Mytilus edulis: one gene and its partner. The protein of the gene in region 1 purifies or fractionates together with the protein of each later gene. This does not show direct contact. Links are inferred from orthologs where the notes say so. Each region holds a gene or a part of one and is shown on either strand. Other genes may lie near its edges. The genes, in order: phosphatidylinositol polyphosphate 5-phosphatase type IV-like; retinal rod rhodopsin-sensitive cGMP 3',5'-cyclic phosphodiesterase subunit delta-like.

Region 1 (10,998 bases):
CATCGCTTGAGACCTTATAATTTCTTGGTTTAGGTATAGGTGTTTTATTTAAAGAATCACTTTTTACTGAAGAAGCATTAGTATTCAAACTAGTCTGATTATCTCCCTTTGGTGTTATAAGTAATGTTGAGCTATCTAGTTTATCTTTAACAGTTTCCTTTGTGGTATCAGTATTCAAATTTTGTAACAAATTGTCTTTTATTTCAACTTTTAATTTTGAAGGTTTATCTCCCTTTTTCAAATTAGAAATTTCAATATCTTTCTTATCTGCCTCTAATTTTAATTTATCTCCCTTTTTATCAAGATTGATATTTTCTGCTTGTAAATTTTTATCTGGCAATATTTTACTAGTGTTTGATCGTAATGATGCTGCTGATCCAAATTCACTTCCAGATTCTGATATTCTTCTTTTTTCAGTTAGTTTTGCAATGGCACTTTTCTTTTTTATTTTCTTTGATTTGCTGGCTGGAGGTTTTGTTTCTGTTTTCTCCTTTTCTATGACATCATGGCTTTCCATGGTACATTCTTTTTGCCATATCAACTTCTGGTAGCATTTGTCACAAACATCATCTAAAACACATATTTTTTTAAATTAAAATTTCTGTTTATTCATACATGTAGTTCAAATTTTAATTGTCTTGAATGTGCATGACATATTTGTCACTGGTCATTATCAAGTCAAATCAATGTTTAGGCCAGGGTTTTTTTTCAAATGATTTAATTTGTCTTTGCTTGTAGACATACATGTAACCCTCGTATGCTGAAATTGTATGACAATGGCATGCATTTTGTGTTTATAACAGCTGAGCAATAATATTCCATGGAACTAAAATTTAAGAAATGATGACAAAATAGTGTACCAAACATAGTGTTAGTAAGTGGAAATACACTGTTCTGTCTTGAAAGATTTGTTTTCTCCTTTTTTTAACCGACCTGACTTTTTCATGTAAAAAATCATAAACCAACAAATTAAAAAAACTTGGTCTTATCTATCAAATTTTAAAGACTTCTATTCAATGGTCAGACTCTTTGAGTTATAAGCCAAAAACTGCATTTTACCCCTATGTTCTATTTTTAGCCATGGCGGCCATGTTTTTTGATGAAATGGGAATTAAAACACAAACTTTATTCTAGATACCCTAGGAATCAATCAGATGAAGTTTGGTTTGAATTTGTTCAGTAGTTTCAGAGGAGAAGATCTTTGAAATAGTTTACGACGACGGACGCCAAGTGATGGCAAAAGCTCACATTTCCTTTTAGGAAAGGTGCAGTCTGCACCAAAAACTTTTTCAACTACGTGTCCGAAGACCAATATCCTGACATTTTTCTTATTGGTCCAAACAAAATTTTGCAAAAACTTACTAGTCCGAATAAAATTTTACTAGTCTGGGGCATCGGACTAGTGGCTAACCGTGCAGACTGAAGGTGAGCTAAAAAAAGAAATAAACAGATCCACCTAGCTTTTATCAATTTCAGGAAACTTCTTCACACATGAAAACTAATAAAAAAAATTGCAAACACATTGTAAGAAAATTTGCTTGTGAAAAACATGCAAGTTTGTTTATTGACAGTTTATTTTGTTTTTTTTACTTTTAGATTGGCTTCTAATATGATAACATCTTGGGATGGTATTGGTTTTTCTTTGTATAAGACTATTTTTAATCAGTGTTCTTACAATTAAGCTAGGTCAGTTTAAATCATTTAGCATGTACACTGCTGGAGTTATGATATCTGTTGCAGCTCTTCTTTGCAGTTGTTCCAGGCTATTTATTTTTGCAAAAGTGTGTTGATCCCAAACTCTGCAACAATATTCTCATTTTTGGTCTAAGATAGTTTGGTAAGCTCTTTTTTGTTTGCCTGATGAATGATAATGATTAATTTGCTTTTGCTGTTGGTGTTAATTATTTATAGTATAACTAATCGCCGTATTTGAATATCAAAAATAAGACAACGCGTGACCGAACGACGCATGGATTAAACGAGTGCGCAGCAGGACTTTAGTCCATAGCGGCGTTCGGTCACAAGTTGTCTTATTTTTGATATTCAAATACGGCGATTAGTTATTCTTTTTATTACATTGGCAAATGGCTTTTTTTTATAAAATTAATGTAGAAAATGTAAGGAACTATATCTTTTTCCTACGCATTGACAATTTGTTTTGATCCGACGTTAACGACGTCTTGACAACGCCTATTGTTGTATGACGTCAGAGAGTGAAATAACCGCGTTTATTTCACATGTGAAATTATCGGTTTTTATCTAACTGGGAAATCAATGTATTCATTGCAACCAATGTAATAATATATATTTTTTTTATTGTTCTATTTGAGATAAGAAAAAAGCGAAATGCCTAGATATTTTAAATAATTTTATACTTTTTTTTGAAATTGTTATCATCATTTTGTGAGTTCATAGATCAACTTATTTAAAAATTGAAGAAAAATAAAAACAAAATAAAAAGCAAAACAGAAAACAAAATTATGAAATAAAGGCAATTATTGTTTCACTTTATTAAATTATAGATTTCTAGATATAAAAATCTATAGATCCATTGTTTAGAGTTTAAGCTTGTCTCAGGTTGAGTTACAAATGTATCTAGAAGCACATGTTAATTATCCAGATGTTCAAAATATAGAGTTCTTCCCAAGCCATGCTGAAAGATGTGATTTTACTGTTCAGTGTTGAAATTTTCAATGCAAATGTAAACTACCACTATCACACATTTTCAGAGTATATGCCCACAGGCACTTGTCTCAGAAAAAAATTTCCTATACCTTATTATAACACAAGGTACTTAACTTGCATTTTAGAAAAATGTCAGGTTGTGACGAAGTTCCGTTATATGCCGCTTTATAGGCTGTCAACCCCACTAAAACTTGTTATATCGTAAATCTAAATTGATTTATCTTTACAATGGTGTATAACATGCCTATATTTGTTGTCGGAATCATCCGTATCAATCCTACCAAAGTATGTCAATCGTAATAATTTTGCAAACCGCTGAAGAATTGGCAATACACGTCCGCAGTAAATGATATATTATAAAAATTGTTTTAAAAAAAACCTGTTAGTTTTCGTATGAATAGAACTTATCATACAGTTAGTAAAATTATATAATATACCATGAAAAAAATCTAACAAGTGTTGTTTGTGGTATGTCTAATTACACTTTTTTCAGATAGTCAGACCTCAATTGGAATTTTAACTTTAAACTGGAAATCAGAGAATTACATCAAAGTCATAAGAGAAATTAAGAAAAACATGAAAGTATTAAAGATGAATGGAATTCCATTAAATTTTGAATGGACACCTGGTCATGCTGATATCCAAGGAAATGACATTGCTGATTCACTGGCCAAAAAAGGAGCTAAAGAAGCTGAAAAAATAGAAGAACCATCAGAAGTAACCAGGCAGGATATAAAACGTGCAGCAAGAGAAAGTGTTTTAAGAAAATGGCAGAACCAATGGGAATCAAGTCAACGTGGCAGAAATTATTACAACTATCATCAAAAAGTATGTCAGAAAATACCAAAAGATTTACCATCCAAATGGTCGTTTTCAATTACAACTAGTTTGAGAACAGGTTATTGTGATCTAAATGATTATAAATCCAAAATTATACCATCATCAGACAAAAACTGTTCCTGTGGAGAGCCAGAAACTGTAGAACACGAACTTTTACATTGTTCTAACTATGAGGAGGCTAGAGAGAGGATGAGAACATCTATTTACTTTATTACAGGAAATATACACATGGATTTAGACACCTTATTAGGAATCGATGAAGAAGACATTAATAGAGACAATCGAAATGAGATATTGTGCCATCTGGAAAATTATTTAACGGAGTCTGGTAGATTCAAAAACACTATACAGCAAAAAACACTATAAATCTATATCAAAATTAAGTCAAAATTTTTTAAGCAGCAGCCACAATTTCAATTAAGTACATGAGTGAACATTACATATGTGAAGAAACTACAAAAGAGGAAACGTACACAAGTGTTTACAGTGTCATTTGGGACACTTACTAAAGACTTAAGACTAAGTTACAAATTTTTCCATGACGTCAATGTCTTGCAGACTCTCTTTTGACTTTACGTATGAAATGAAACAAGATCAGAGATAACTCCGAGAATCATTTAGACTTTCCCATAGAATTGACCAATCGGAAACCGAGATATACAAGGAGACGTGACGCGTTTATTGCCAATTCTTCAGCGGTTTGCAAAATTATTATGATTGACATACTTTGGTAGGATTGATACGGATGATTCCGACAACAAATGTAGGCATTTTATACACCATTGTAAAGATAAATCAATTTAGATTTACGATATAACAAGTTTTAGTGGGGTTAACAGCCTATAAAGCGGCATATAACGGAACTTCGTCACCACCCGACATTTTTCTAAAATGCTAGTTAAGTACCTTGTGTTATAATAAGGTATATAGGAAATTTTTTCTGAGACAAGTGCCTGTGTATATGCCTCATATCAACTTACTTGTATTGACAGAAAAACTGTTACAGCAGTGATTATCAGTATGTGAATATAAAAGTTGTGTGTGAAATTTGGGTAACACATCCATGTTTACATGTTTACCTTCTTTACTTACTGCATATCAAATTCATGCATTATTGAACATAGATAGTGTGTTTTCTTAACAACTAAAGTTGTTATGCGGATGTATGATTAATTCAGAAACCACAGTTAATCATTATTCTTGATTATTATTTACCCCGAGTAAACCATAGCAACTGTATAAATTCAGAATCAGCATCTGAGATTTATATATGCCATTATAGATTCTGAGTAATTTGACAGAGAAAACGTTGATTGGCAAAGGCTGTAAGAGAACTGATAATATCATATAAAAGTTGCATTAATGTGATAAAACACGCTTATTTACCGGCGTGTGTATTTGTTTATATCAGCAGCCACCATCTTGGAATGCAATCCACAGTGCGCAGCCTCAGTAATATTTGCAAGGTACTTAGAATCTCTGTTGCGTTTGCTGGTAAGGTAAATGTCCATTCTGTCAAGCGTTTGCTGGTGGAATGTCGTACAAAAATATTAATGTTAAAAGAAATGAAATAATATTGCATATAAGATATAACTTTGCACTCAAAAGTGTAAATACTGCATTTTTTGTACATTTCATGATGAAATACGTAGTTTTTTAATGTTGCAAATCATAACAAAACATTTACGATGCTGTTCTATTCACTCCCTCTTATTTTCGTTTTAAGATAATTACATTTTAATTAATCTTTTGGACTTCTGTTAAAAACAATCTTTTAAGAGGAAACGATTAAATTATTCCGTAATGCAAATTGTGTTTGAAATCTAGAATTGACAAATAATTAATTAAATTTGGAGGTTAAACAAAAAGTAACAGCCAAGAGGGATGTTCATGCCAACAATCATTGTTTGAAAATGGAGGAAAGGGCACATGTGTCAGGAGACTGCAGCAACCTTTTCCAATTGGATATATGGATAAAAGGAAGTTATTGATAAACTGCTTGTTATTTTATTTCAATTTAGGTTTACACTTGAGATGAATGAAAGGAAATGTCATGACAAAGTAGAAATCATATTTAAATTAAACTTAAAACTGTGAGTTGAGTAACCATGAACTCTGCTAGAGGAGCAAAATCCCCTTCAAATCATGATCTCAATATATTTTTGGATAGACAGATTCAAAATAAATTGCTGGAAATTGATGATCAGTTGTGGCTGACTGATTACATGGTTGAATCAAAAGGAAACACTGAATTAAAAGTGCCAAAAACTATTAAAGTGACCAGGAATGAGGATGTGACAGGATGGTTTAGCAGTTCAAAATGTGTTCTACGCAAACTGGAAAAGGAGAAGCCAACTCCACAACCTATTACTTACTCATGGAGAGAACAAACACGATTAAAAAACTTGATTCAAAATAGTTTCGTGTTCAAACATTATCCTTACCATCAATCATATATTGAACAATATAGGGAAGAAAATTCTCAGTTAAGTGGAATTAAAACAGTAGCCCAAAAAGAATCCAATGAACCCCGAAAAATAGCAGTTCAAAATACTGCAACAATAACAAGTGCACAAAACAATACCACTGCATCAGGAAATATTTATTCACAGAATTCTGGTCAGAATATATGCAGCCATTGCAATCAACCATATACTGTTTCAACATCACAGCCTCTCATTACTGCAGCCTTTAGTTACACACGTAGAGAAACTACCTCCCTCTCAAATGGTGCTTGTAAATGTTCTCAATCTAATTCTAACCCCATTCCTCATTCATCAAGTTCTCATACTTGCACTAAACACAATCATCACCAACACAAAGATGTGGCTAGTTTAGCCTATAAGTATAAACTTTCCAAGGAAGCATTGATGCACAATATTGCATGGAAATCAGAATCCGACAATTCAAGTGAGCATGAAAGAGATTCATTTAAAACACCAAGAGTAGCATCTGGAAAAAGATCAGCTGGAAAAGCACCTACCAAAGTTACTGTGCCATCTCTACCAAATGGTCACAATAAAAACATTCAAACAGTTACTGTGTAAGTATATAAATACATTGAATCTTGCTAGTAAAAATAGACAGATTGTACATTGTAAGTCCTTCATGGGTAGTAAAAGTTGTTCTCAGTAATCAGAAAGCTGTTGGTAGTAAATTGCCAAGTCTGTACAAAACTGTTTAAGTTCGCCATGATATTATAGCTACATGTACTGGGCCACTGACCCCAATACAAGTTTTTTTCCACAAAAATTCTTTATACAATGTTATTTTACAGGTTGTTGCTAGATAACATGTACATGATGTATGTATTAAGGAATTTGTTTCTGGTCCTTCTACATTTTAACTCTCCTTTCAAATTCAAAATGACAAAAATTAAAGGCTTGTTACATGCATATTAATTGTGAAAACTTCAGCTATAATCATGATAATCATACATTTAAAATTTAACATTAATTTACCTCAAATATTCAGTTACAAATGAATGTCATGAACGTATACGTACATGTATGTCTTTGAGAAAAAAATCAAAAATCAAATGACATTCAGTTTTTAGATACAAATTGTATTTAAGACATTCATGTACACATACATGTACATATATTTTGTGTATTGAACATGTTGAAAATGATGTGTTTGTCACTTTTACTTTACATGATTTTTTTAAATTCTGAATTGATGTTTGAAGGACTTGTTGGACATTTTCTACATACATTTGTACATGTACACATATAACTGTCTCAAAAACCAGCCAAGGTACAAATGTACATTGTACAGTAATGAGGGGGAGGACAGGGGTAAGGGAGACAGGGAGAAAGGGAGTAGGAGAAAGGAGAAAGAGGGTGGGAGAAAGGAGAAAGGGGGTAGGAGAAAGGAGAGGAAGGCTGGGAGAAAGGAGAAAAAGTTGGAGAAAAAAATAAAATATGAAAAAATAAAATATCTCTCTTTTTTCCGGTAAATTAAAAAAAAAAAGTAAGGAGAAGAGGGGTAGGAGAAAGGAGAAGAGAGGTGGGAGAAGGGAGAAGGGTATCCCCTGTCCTCCCCCTCAGTAATATTGTAGTACAAAATGTATGTATATGACTATGAGAAAATATAAATTAGTTTTTGAACAACTATTGATTTAAAAAATGATCATTTGGTTATTGCTTTTCATGTTTTTATTATAGGTTTGTATCATTGAGCAGTTTAACATATATTCTTAAGGAAGTATTCAGATAAAACTTTTTCATATAGATTTCGATCAGAACTATTTAACAATTGATGAAAGAAGTGTATTGGAAAAACTTGTCATTCAATTCTGAAAATCTACAATTTGAATTTTGAAAGCCTTTACAATTTTTATTTTCACCTTTAAAGATTCTCAAATTTCTAAAATAGCATGCATACAAGAAACGAAAGGTAAACATGTTAAAGAAAATTGACAAGTTTATCCATTTAAAAAGTAACATTTGATGTGGATATCTGATAAAAAGCAAGAATGACCCACTGTCAGATGTCATTGTTATCAATTACAGAATAGGTTTACTTGCTTTTTCAAATATATGGTTAATTTGATGCCCCTGAAAAATCTTACAAAGCATTTACATACATTAAATAAAAGTCCTTTATTTAAAGTATTCTTGTACAGAATTATATAAAGTTTAAAAAATGAAGATTTACATCTGTATATACATGTATGCATATTAAAGTTTCAGATCCCTAATTATATATAATTTGCCTGTTTAATCATTCATAGAACAATATAATTTTACTCCATATATATATACTGTAATATACATGTACATGATAAATGTAAAAATAAATGCGTATACACTGTACATGTATATATATATTTAAAATCAGAGCAATTACAGACTGTTTTCTGAGAAAGAAAAAAAAAGCTAGAAATAACTACATTGTCATGATTGTATTCTATATTTACAAAAATATAGATACAGGTGATTTATTAATATTTGTTTTAAAAATAGTTTGTTAAAAGAATAGAACATTGTTGTTATTTCCTTTGCAAAGATGTAATTATGAAATGAAAATTTTCCAAAAGCTTCATACAAAATAGGATTATTCAGAATAAGGGCATGGTTGTTTTTAATCCAGATTATTATGATTCACTGTACATATATATATATATATGATATATACATATATATGCGCTATAAATCATACATTGTAATAAAGCATTATGTTCAGTAAATGACAAGCGTTTAAATAATTTTCACCTTGATCTATTTTTGATTTGACAGATAGAGTCCATTTTTCATCTATTTAATCAAATTCTCACACAAAAGAATCTATAAGCAAATAAGAGGATTAAAAGCTTACTTCAGAATGCTTACAGTTGTGGGAGAATAAGAGTAGTTGAAAATTTTGTGTGACATTCTAAGTGCACTTATAAAAACCCTTACGTTTACATGTAACACCAGGGAGAAACCTTTCAATTGATAAATATATATATTTTAAATTTATTCAAAGAGACTCTTCAGGTGCAAATAATGTTTTGATTAATTTATTACTTTAAAAAGCTAGAGATATATACATGATAAAATTTATAAATCACATACATATAATTACATACGTCCTACATATAATTACATACATGACATACATAGGTGTATGTAGAACTCAAAATTATCATGATTATAGAGCAAACATAAAAGTCTTAACTCTGTACGTATACCTTTCAACATTAACATGAACATTTGCAAGTCATGACAGCACATATTAAAAGTAAAAGTACTAGCATTGACTAGCATTCCATGCATGCATTTGTACTTACATGTATTCATACAGAATATTTACATGTAGTCTGGTAAATGGAATATAGACAAACAGTAGATCTACAATTAAACATGTACAAATATGTAAGTTAATATTTAGAATAGGACAATGATTGATGTCCTTCTATGTTTGTTGCAATTATTAGATTTGCAAATTAAATGCCTAAGAAAAATGTGAAAATGCATCAGACAATTTCTTCCTAAATTGTTATGATACAATGAAGGATGCATATATTTTTTGGGAACCCAAACATTGAAATGAAAACTTAACTAGAATCAGTATAAAGTGTTAAACATTGGTATAAATTCATTTATTTAAAGAGTTATCTCCCATCCATACAGTTAAAGTTTTCAGAAACCAATATAATATTTTGGGTAGATTTTCTTCAGTATGTAAAGGAGACAGAAATCGTTGTGTGACATGGTAAACAAATTGGGTAGCATTTACAGCCTATTGCATTGGTTGTGTAGGCAAAGGTTATATCTTTGGTTAGCTTGCTTGCTAGCTGAACCGTGAAGTCATTATTAGGTATGGTATTTTACCCTCCTTTCCTTGACAACAGAAACCATTTGAAAATCAACCTTGAAAAAAGGACATAGATTTCAGTCTCATGATGTCACAAGACACATATTTCAGACTTGTCGCTATAGACTATAATCCGAATTACTTTACGGTGTGTGATATTGAAAATGCCATACAATATTCTTTAAAGGGGCCTTGGTGGCCGAGTGGTCTAATAGTTATACTGTAATCACTAGCCAGTCAACACTGAAGTTGTGAGTTTGAACCCTGTTGGTGAAGATGCCTCAACTCAAATCTTAAATGACTAGGATTGTCAGTTTTCCTATCTAAGGTCGTGGTTTTCTGCGGGCACTCCGGCCAATTTCCACCAATAAAAACTGGCCACCACAAAATAGGCTAGATGCGGTTCTTAAAATTGGTGTTGAGGCCACAATTAAAAATATTTTGATTTGTCCAATTTGACCAAACCCTACCCAAAGGATTAGACAGTGGGTAGGTAGGTAGGCATTTTCTTTTTTTTTTCAAAAAGAGAAATTGAAGTATCGGGTGTTTATTAGTCTTCATGCCTATCTGATTAAAAAAAAACTTCTTCAAATCAGGACAATAAAAGAATTTGAGTAGGCAGCTTTTTTCTTGGTAGGTAGCGTTTGGGCAAACAAACCTATTCTTTTTTATGGCCTTATTAAAACACAAAAAAACAAACCAATTGTTTTACATTATATTATTTTATTCATGAACACATGTATGTAGAGCCTAGGTGGTCAAGTGGTCTAGCACATTGGATACAGTGCAAGAGGTGGTCAAGTGGTCTAGCACATCGGATACAGTGCAAGAGGTGGTCAAGTGGTCTAGCACATCAGATACAGTGCAAGGTGATTTGGTGCTAGTGCCTGCCATGATCTCTCAGTAGCGCGAGTTTTGAATCTGGGTGAGGGAAGACCAATAAAATTGCGAAAGCAAATTTACAGATCTAACATTGTTGGGCTGATGTTTAGACGAACTATTTATGCCATACTAAGTATTTTCTAATGACCCTCACTGCATAGAACAATTTCATTTCACCTTATTTAATTATGTGACTAACAGATAGATAAATTAAATGTTTGTTAGCATTCGCAGCAATTGAATTTTTGTGAAATAATCTAAATCAATTAAATGGCAGACTAAAATACCATT
Region 2 (10,361 bases), on another chromosome or scaffold:
TTAAATTTTATTATATTTCTGTATTTTCATGACCTTTCTTTTCTGTTAAGTTAACACATGGAACTTTTGGTTGTAAAATATATTATTTCATACCATTTGACTGAATTGTTTCTAATAAACTTATCAATTAATTAACTCAACAGTAGCAGATTCAGATAAAAGGGAAAAAGGGGGGGGGGGGGCTTAGAAGAAGAAGACCTAGTTTTGATTGGATTTAATTTTCTCTGTAAACTGACTTCTTAAACAGGTCAAATCATGTTCTGACTTCAGAGAGTCAGTCAAAACTAAACTTATGTCGACTTTTAAGTCTAGGATTTTCATATTGATTTTAAAATGTATGACAAACCAGATAAAAGACTGATGAAATATGGTCCCCTCAAGTCACAATATTGAGGACTATAAAAAAAAATGTATTTGGTATATTTTATATTCAAATGTATTTTTTTTAACAAATTTCATCAAATTTATATCTTAAAAATTTATTTTATTTCTGTATTTTCATGACTTTTTTTTCTGTAAAGTTAACATATAGAACTTTTGGTTGTAAAAAATCATTATTCTAAAAACCATTTGACTGAATTGTTTCTTAAAAAAAATTAATTATCCCAACAATAGCAGATTCAGATAACGAGAAAAAAAAGGGGGGGGGGGCTAAGATGAAGAAACCTAGTTTGATCGGATTCTTTTTCTGTAAACTGACTTAAACAGGTCAAATCATGTTCTGTTAAAAAAATGTTGAGGAGAAAATACTATGAAAATCAGACTAAGTTTGGTGACTTTGTTGTCCTTCAAGAAGTGGTACATATAAATACATAATATTTTCACTACAACTATCTATTGGGTGTTTTTTAAATAGAATTTTTAGCAACATTTATAACTTTGTAATTTATGTTCAATTGTACACTTGTTATTCTTAATATATATTTTTTTGGGAACAAAATCTTGTCAGGGTTTCTTATGGTACTAGCATGACAAGAGCATTCATATTCTTAAATACTCTAAACATTAAAAACAAGTCATTATCTTCAGATTATTCTGAGTCTTTCTGGCCTTATTAAATTAAAGTCAGAACATTCAGACTTTCATAAGTCAGAACATTCAGACTTTCATAAGTCAGAACATTCTGACTTTCATAAGTCAGAACATTCAGACTTTTATAAGTCAGAACATACTGACTTCCAATGTTCTTCTCACTTCTGTAGAAACAAAGACTATCTATATTTCAAATAAAAGGTTAATGCTTTATGTGGCTAAGCATCTGGGGTAAGAATTATAGATGTGTAACTTCATAGGAAAACATATATGCCATATAATTAGGGATTGACCCTGTACATGTATGTCATTCAAATCTTCTTGAAATGACGAACAGGAATATTATATGGTTTAGGGGTGGTGATCCAGACCATTTCAAAAAGGGGGATGGGGATGACCCCCATGGACTTTCCCTTTATTTCATTTGATTTGTTGTATTGTCCCATATAATAATATATAGGCTTAAGGGGTGGGGATCTCAACCGTTTACATGTTTTCAAACATGAGGGGGTGGGGTGACCCCAAGGGACTTTATCTTTATTTCATTTGATTTGTCTTGTTGTCCCTTACACTAATATATATGGTTCAGGGGTGGGGATCTTGACCATTTACATGTTTTCACACTGTAGGGGCAACCCCCCCCCCCCCAAGGGACTTCCCCTATATTACATTGGGTTTGTTTTATTTTCCCATACAAGAATATATATAGTTTAGGGGTGGGGATCTCGACCGTTTACAAAATATAAGAACATTCGCAAATGGCAGGGGAGGGGGTAAACCCAGAGACTAGCCCGGTATATTTCATTCAAATCAATTTGACATTATAAAAAGGAATATATATGGCTGTTTACAGGTGGGGATCTCGACAATTTTCAAGATATAAGATCATTCTCAAATGACAAGGGGTGGGGCGACCCATAGAGACTAGCTTGGTATATTTCATTATACTTTACAGAGAGAAAAAATTGAGTTAAGGGGGCAGGGATCTCGACTGTTCAACATTGTCAAATGACAGGGGTAGGGTGATCACTGGAGCCTTACCCTACATTTCATTTGATTTGTTTTTAAGATCATATTCCATGTTCATAATTGAAAAACCCGTTTTGTGAATCTCTTTATAATGTTCTCAAGTTAAAATCATTTTTAAAATAAAAATAAAAAAATATTTCGGTTCTTTTAGTTAAACCCTCCCTTCCCTTTTCCTTTATTAAAATTATTCCGATTTCATTTCATTTTCATTAATATCAATATTCAAAAGATCGTTTTTCTCATTGGGAGAAACGAAAAAACAAATATATTTATAAGCCGCAAACTCGGAAAGGTTAAAAAGTCAATTCATGATTGAGTTTAAAAATAGAAAAATCACGTGATGATGTTCAGCTCGAAGCAATAATTTTACTTTTAAAATTGCACTGACTGGTTATTAATGTTAATACTGTTTAAGACAACACGAGTTGTCTCCCGAAAATAACAGTTCATTATCATAACAACATTTTCTGACCTGAACAAGTCAGAATTGTCAGACACCAGGTCATCTCAAAGGCTACGCGTCCGTATTTACAGGTCACGCGCCTTCATGAAACAGCAACAAAATCACTTGCAAAGACCTTCTTCACACGCAAAAAATATTAAAATGGCCATGAAAATACGGAGGTAATATGTATTACCTTCTGAAAATGACCACATTGACCTAGATTTTCAATAAAAAAACGTAAATAATCACTATATTTTCAATAACTTCTCGTTCGAGAAACTCCCAAAACAACAACTCTCAAACACGTGATCTCTCGCAAAAAACCACGTGATCGTATGTGTCTTAGATCGGCGGCAAATTCAAAATATCTTCTGGTTTGACGGACTCGATGGAAAACTACGCAAAACAAAAATTGACCCGTACAGGTCAGAATGTCAAAACATTTTCTGACTTGAAGAAGTCATTTTATTCTGACTTGTTTATGTCAGAGCTCTGACTGTAAGTGGGGCTATTTTTTTAAAAGTGGGTCCAGTTGGTAAACCAGTTTGGGACAACTTTTTAAAAAGTCGGTCGAGTTGGTGAAAAAGTGGGGCGGTTAGGTGTGGGGCAATGCATTTTGAAGATGTTAAATGACACTTCTTACTAAACATTCAATACTACACAAAGGTTGACCATTCCCAAAATGTGATCTTCTTCTTCTTCTTCCAGTAAGCGGCCACCGTCAACTGGTTGACTATTCTGCCACATTTATGGAGTGCGCGCATGTATGAAAAAATTTTAATTTAACAAAAACAAAAACTAGGTGAATTTTATATACAAGTGCAAATAAAAACATGTCAATTTAATTACTGACGGAGCTGAGCCTTGAAAGATTCAGGACTCGGGGCAGAGACCTTACAGTTGGGCAAGATTATTGTATGAAGCCAATAGTCCAAGAGACACAGATGCTCAAGTCAAGCAGCACCTATTTCTAAATAGTAATAGAGTGTATAATATTATAATTTACACGGTCTTCAACAGTGTCCCAAGTTTTAACACATATAAACTGTGTCTGACTGTGACAACAGAATCTGGAGAACAAAGGGATGACATGATGTCATAAAGTAAAGCTGTAGATATATACATGTAGAAAAGGTCGAGCAAAGGAATTTAAATTTGCATGTCACATAATTTAATGTAAATGTCACAAATCAGGATGTCTCTAGACGCCGATGATAGATTTGGAAATTTGTAAACATAATTGATGTGAATATATGTACAGTTATCTTGATTAAGGATACAGTTTGAATCCTTTCATTATGTCCTCTGCTTTTGATGGCATATTGATTTATAATTGTGTTTTATCAAAACTAGTCTGGTTCTATTTCACGATTCTCCAATGTCAACAATTTAGAAGTAGTTCGTTAAATTTTCCTACGCGACAATCTGTATCAAGTGAATGTTTGTATGATCGTGTTGGTTATAATGGTCAATTGTATACCGAACTCTTTAATTTGCATCAATTTTCTTAATTTTTAATCCAATTCAGTGAATATATTTAGTAAAGAAAGTAACCAGGTTGAAAATTAGTATCATTAGACCTATTTCTCGCACTTACCGGAAAGCGTCCTGTTTTCAATGAACGATGTTGTTCGGCTTATGTGGGACGATGGACTGACCTGTGTTTCTCAAAATCATAGTTAACTCTAAGAACGTGAAGGAAACCATATGTAAATATATATTGCTGTTCAGCGAATATAAATGTACTTTCTGTATTGAATCCTTCTTTTTCTATGGTTGTGGTAACTTCATTTATGAAATTTATGCAAGTCCTCCTCTTCACCTGTTCACGACTTGTAGATAATTTTCATGATACATGGATAGTGCATATAGCTAGCATTGACTTAGTCCAAATAATTATGACATCTTGAAAGTCTATTATATTTTTTTTTGTCAAAGGAAGGCATCAAAGCAAACATTTAAAATAGCCTTCCAAGATGTCATAATTATTTGGACTACCAATCTACCATTGACTCTGATCTAGCTGCGGAACTGTAGCTCTTAGGTCCTTATGTTATTTTTTGACTATTTGCGGACGGTCCGCAAATAGTCAAAAAATAACATAAGGACCTAAGAGCTACGGTTTCCGCAGCTAACTCTGATCATGACAGCTTGGGGATTATTAGTCCAAATAATTATGACGTCTTGAAAGGCTATTATATTTTTTTTCTTTGACACCTTACATCGACGATGCGTCACAGAAAAAAAATATAATAGCCTTTCAAGACTTCATGATTATTTGGACTAGGACAGTCAGGGGTATTACTTGTACAAGTTATTTTTAATTACTTGAAGAAGTAATATTAATATTCTTATATAGGTAAATTTGCTGGATACTTATACAAGTGAATTTTTTTTTACTTATTTTGGTAAAAAAAGATATTGCCTGAGTTTTGTCCCTTAGACATTTAGTTTTTTTTACTTGTAGATGTAAAAAAGTCATCCTATCTTCTTTTATTGAATTCTTATGATTTCTTTGCTCTAATAGAATTTTAAATTATCTGCCCTTTGCAGATGTCTTTACTTATCATTTAAGTGTAATTTCATGGACAATGAAAATCCCATTTGTCTGTTATCCTCAAACACTGCTTATTTATACAAGCCCCAAGGAGCAATCTTTGAAGGCCTTGCACAATTACTTAAGATCTGTGTGCAGTCAGTTTCTTTGTTAAATTAATGAGATGAAACATTGAACTCTAACAAAAAAAAAATAATGAGCAAACCTGGGAAAAATCATTTAAGGCAATGGTGTATAACACGCCTACTTTTGTTGTCAATATCATCCGTAGCAATCCTACACATCAATAACCTATAGAAAAAATGTGTTTATAATCCTATAGATATTAAATTCTATGCCACTGATTGAAACTTTTCATCAATAAAGTTTATCAGAATGTTTGCAAATAAGTGAAGAATATTTCCATTCATCAGTCTTACATTTTCATAGTGGATAACATGTGCTCCAAGGTTCTGATTTTTTCTATCTTTTTTCAAGTAAGGGTATCGAACTTCCAATAATCGAGGATACAGTTAAATTCTGCTAACTTGCCCCACTTGAGAGTTAATTTACACGCTCACCTCATTAAGTTTCAAAATAACACATGACAGAAACCCCAGTTGTCATTATTTATGTATTTTAATTTACATGATTAATTAATTCACCACATAAAAAAAGTAAATAAATATTGTGGATGAAAATTAACCGTTGCTTGATTTCATTAATGTGAATTATTTCATTCAGTTAAATGCATGAAATGATATTGTTTTATTATAAGTTGTATAATGATGATTATGCTACATACAAAAATGTATGTATATTAACATGATTAAAGTATTTTTTTCTTTTTTTCCTTTATATTTTGAAAAAACTTGTAAACATTATAACAAATGACTAGCATGCATCATCATGATTATCATACAAATGTACATTGTTTGTAAAACATGTCACATATGTTTGAAAAAATATCAAAAATCAAATTAGTAACAGACATTATGTTACATGTTATATATATTTACTAAGAAGTGATAAGAAAGGGAAGCGAATTTCAGAAGGATCTTATCATACTCATCATACTTATTGAGAGTCTTAAAACTAATGTAGATTGTATTTTAGAACCCACATCACTTAATTACCCATTTGTTGACATGACTCTCATGCACTCAGGGTTCTCGCTAAGGATTTTTGAAGGCGAGTCCAGGGGCTCTTCATTTTTAGCCATGATGAGTCCAACAGCAAGAAGAAAATATTTTATTGCAATACAATGTAATATTTTAGTCTCCATTTCCTAACAGAGCAATGAAATGACATTGAATTCATATCACTTTTAAACTTTTGCTATAAAATGATGACATTTGTGTTTAACTGTGTTAAGTTTATACAAAATATTTCAATCTTGATGCTTCTGTGGACTCACCAGTTTTAAAAATGGTGAGTCCAGACAGATTTTGATGAGTTCAGGACTCATGGACTCGCCTTAGGAAGAACCCTGCTGAAAGCAATTGAGGCTTCAACATGTTCAATAACGGGATGGCATGGTGATATTTCTAATATTCTATTGTAATTTTAGATAGACTTTTGCCATGTGTATTTGATTTTAAATATCACGACTATGCTAGTAAAATTAATTTTAATTAATACTTTTCAGATTTTTAACCTACAAAATGGCTATGAGAAATTTGGTGGAGGGGGAATGTGGAGGCTCTAATTCACTAATGAAATTGACGTCACATTTCACACAGGATAGAGGATTACGACAGGTATATGTACTTGCATATATATATATATCAGCTGAAGACTGATCTTAAAAGTATTGTATTGCAACATATTTCTTATTTAAGTTATTACAATGTTCTTGTATAGCAAATAACTAAATAATTAAAACTGAAAAAATGTTAGTTAACAGTTGAAGTGATGGTTTCTAAATATGTATTTAAATAAGTTCTTTAATTCGAACATACTAAAAGGTCTATGTAGTAACGATGAACATTTTGCATCTGTCTTTGTCATGATTGTCTGTACATGCTGTAATTGTCTGACAAAACAGCCCTTGGAGGTCAGAGTAATCTCAGACTATCATGCTTTTTAGTTATTTCTACTTTGTAAAATATTTAGAAAAAAAAAATTTACTTACAGGAAAACTTCAGTCATGGAAGAGTCCAGCACCCACAGCAAATGGTAGTATTATCTAGAATAAAGTCTTTTAATACTGAATTGGTTTTCCTCAAAGTTCAGTATCTTTGTGATTTTACTTTTAACAAATGTCAATATATATGTAGGAGGATTTGGTAATAGACAACTATCCACAAGAGACCAAATGAACAAAAGTTTTATCAACTTAGCAACAAATCAAACTGTATACATGATATAAGGAATAAAATTGAGAATGGAAATGGGGAATGTGCCAAAGAGACAACAACCCGACTGTAGAAAAGACAACAGCAGAAGGTCACCAATAGGTCTTCAATGAATATTGAAAAAGACAACACTGATTTGGTTACGTTTTTGAGATTTAGATATATATCTTATTACCATAGATTGTGTTAAGACATCTTAGATGAATTAAAAATAAGTAATCATACTTCATACATTTATTCCATTCTATATATATATGCTTTCTTCGAATAAGAAATGAGGTTCCAAATTGAAATTTGAATGTTTATCTTGTACAATTTGTCACGTTTTCCTCCCCTTTCTTATCAATTTGAATTATCTATAACATTAATTTTTCAGTCTGTTAAAAGAGTTAAATTTAATAAAGATTTGTGTTCAAATTTAATGATCAGTACATTGATAAATCATATTTAGCATGAAGTAAATACTGTATATTTTGCAGCCTGGCAGACCAATAGGACAGTCAACAGAAAATGAGGTAATTAGATATGAAGTATCAAGTGTGGATTAAGTCTTATTCAAAAGGGGGTTTCAAACATTGGAACCCCCCTGGATTCTCCAATGAGAATGGCTTATCAGGTTTTTTTTTCTCATCAAGTTTTGTTTAAGGTTTGGGACTTGGAATGGGCTATAAGATATATGCTGTGTTCATTTTACACTGTTCACAGCCTATTACATGTTATACAACATTTAAAAGGACAGTGAAATGTTTACGTGACTTACAAAATGGAAAATTAAACGGAAAAATTTCTAATACACAGAATTGCATCATATTTAAAAATACCATAAGCATTAGAAATTCTTTGGTTAATTGCAGTTCAGAGAATATAGTTTATCGAAAGAATTTTATTGTATAGACTGAATTTTCGGCTCTCCCTAGCTGACACTATTTGCGAGTTTGGTCTTGAGGAAACGATGATAGTCCGTCAGAATGGGGCATTAAATGGCTGACCCGTATTAAGAGAGAGCCATATCTCTCGCACGTTAAAGACACCCTTGTAGATTTCCAAAAAGAGCAGGCTAATGCCGCTACAAGGCAGCACTCACATCCGCAAAGTGGAAAGGAATTAATATAAGTTGCAAAACTTGTTTCCAATTCCACTATAAATAAATATGTTTTAAATAAATAAAACTATATATATTAGTTTTACATGCTAATTTTGAGAAGCTTTCTATTTCCTTTTCAATAGAACATGATTAAAATTTTCAGCTGATTTAAATAGAATTATCTCCCTTAGTGTTATGTACCACCTTAATTCAGTTAATTGTGTTTTGTTATTTTGTACAGTTAGTTGATGAGTTTCTGTCTAGTCAAAGAATTACGATGGCTCCACAGACATTCCACATGGGTGGATTACTTCAGGAAATGAGAGAAATAGAAGAAGCGGAATTCAAATACACACCTGAGAGAGGTAGGAACCAGTAAAATTATCAAATATGCAAATTAGAAAGATTGAAATATCGTATACCAAACACACAAAAATTGTTAATTGAAATATACACCTGAGAGAGGTATGATCCAGTGAAATTTTGTACTGAAATTATCACATATGCATTTAGAAAGATTCAAATATCAGAGATCAAATCACACAAGAATTGTTTATTCAAATATACATGCATCTAACATACCATAAAAATTTGTCAATCATCTGGTAAGTGAAACACAACTTATAAAAGGCATTACTTGTTGATAAATCCAGATCTCATCTGACAAGGGAAATAAATTACTGATGAATTTGAAACAAATTTGAGAAAGGAGGTATTGATTATTTCAAACATGTTATTTGTAGTGGTTTTGGGGAATTATCCATTCAATTCTTAAGAAAATTCAATTTCAGTAGTTCACTTTATCCACAAATTCCACAACAAAATAAATGTCTCTGACTCAAATAATGAAGAATTCTCAAATAAAAAAAAGTCTAAGTGTGACGTGGGATTGCCATTTTTTTGTTATCGTGATATGTGAAAGTCAAATTATTGTGCCATGAAAATGGGAAATGAAGTTTAACGGAGAGTGGAAATTCCAAAAAAAAATGAGAATTGCCTACGTACATACAAATGTAGTGTAAGTGGGATACAAAAATCAGACAAAACAGTAACTGGGATCCGAAATCAGAACCCCACAATGAGACAAAGATATGCAATTAACTTTATAATTTCACATTTCAGCTCCAGCAATTGCAGAACTTGCATCATCAGACTCATGGGCTCAGGAATTTCTCACAACAGAAGCTGACAGTCCTTCAGAGAAATGGTCCAGTGAATATTTATCAGAAAAACCCACACAAACATTAGCTCCTACTAACCTTAAATGGGCTGAGGAATACTTGGATCACACAGAAGCACACACTAGACCATGGTTAGTAATTATAGAATTGATTTAAAATAATATTGTTTTATGATAATTTTACAGAACTCTTTTTGATATAAAGAAAGTATACAACACAAAAGTTGTTTGAAAATGATTTGTAATTTTTCTGTATTTTTGTAGTCAACTGTTCTTTCTCAGTATTAACATGAGTCATCTGCAATTAAAGAAAGAAGCCTTTTACTTATAATCAATGCATATCTTAGTATATAAGTAGATAAACTTTGATAAAGGCAAAAATCATTCATACAAAATAAGGAATGATCCAAAAAGATCATAACACAAAGCTGGGAACAACTATAGGTTACTGTAAGTCCTTCAACAATGAGTAAAACCCATACTGTATATTAAACTGTAAAATTACAGGGAAGAAGAATTTAAAGAATTGGATGACACAAAATGGCTGGATGAATTTTCATCAGAAAGGGAACAGAATAAAGATTTATCGGATACAGCCAAAGAATTGTTAGGATCTGTTAACGATCCCAAGTTTAGTAATTCTGAAGTAAGTATGATTAACCTATCCAATTGTTATTATGCCTTTGTCTTTGTTGAAA

Evidence for each region.
Region 2: the proteins of phosphatidylinositol polyphosphate 5-phosphatase type IV-like (region 1) and retinal rod rhodopsin-sensitive cGMP 3',5'-cyclic phosphodiesterase subunit delta-like purify together in Homo sapiens (affinity purification with mass spectrometry; 3 studies listed by BioGRID and IntAct, with this or other methods). This does not show direct contact. The link is inferred for Mytilus edulis from reciprocal best matches to the Homo sapiens genes INPP5E and PDE6D.

The regions. Positions count from the first base shown.
Region 1 is NC_092345.1:8,935,360-8,946,357, reverse strand, and holds the start of phosphatidylinositol polyphosphate 5-phosphatase type IV-like, read right to left. Parts: upstream 4,734-10,998; 5' UTR 4,591-4,733; coding exon 4,506-4,590; intron 571-4,505; coding exon 1-570. Other genes in the region: uncharacterized protein, read left to right, coding at 5,634-6,568. UniProt on the Homo sapiens protein: Phosphatidylinositol (PtdIns) phosphatase that specifically hydrolyzes the 5-phosphate of phosphatidylinositol-3,4,5-trisphosphate (PtdIns(3,4,5)P3), phosphatidylinositol 4,5-bisphosphate (PtdIns(4,5)P2) and phosphatidylinositol 3,5-bisphosphate (PtdIns(3,5)P2).
Region 2 is NC_092356.1:54,305,139-54,315,499, forward strand, and holds the start of retinal rod rhodopsin-sensitive cGMP 3',5'-cyclic phosphodiesterase subunit delta-like, read right to left. Parts: upstream 4,140-10,361; 5' UTR 3,828-4,139; coding exon 3,787-3,827; intron 1-3,786. Other genes in the region: peroxisomal targeting signal 1 receptor-like, read left to right, coding at 6,707-6,802, 7,179-7,220, 7,879-7,914, 8,725-8,848, 9,606-9,795, 10,171-10,309. UniProt on the Homo sapiens protein: Promotes the release of prenylated target proteins from cellular membranes. Modulates the activity of prenylated or palmitoylated Ras family members by regulating their subcellular location.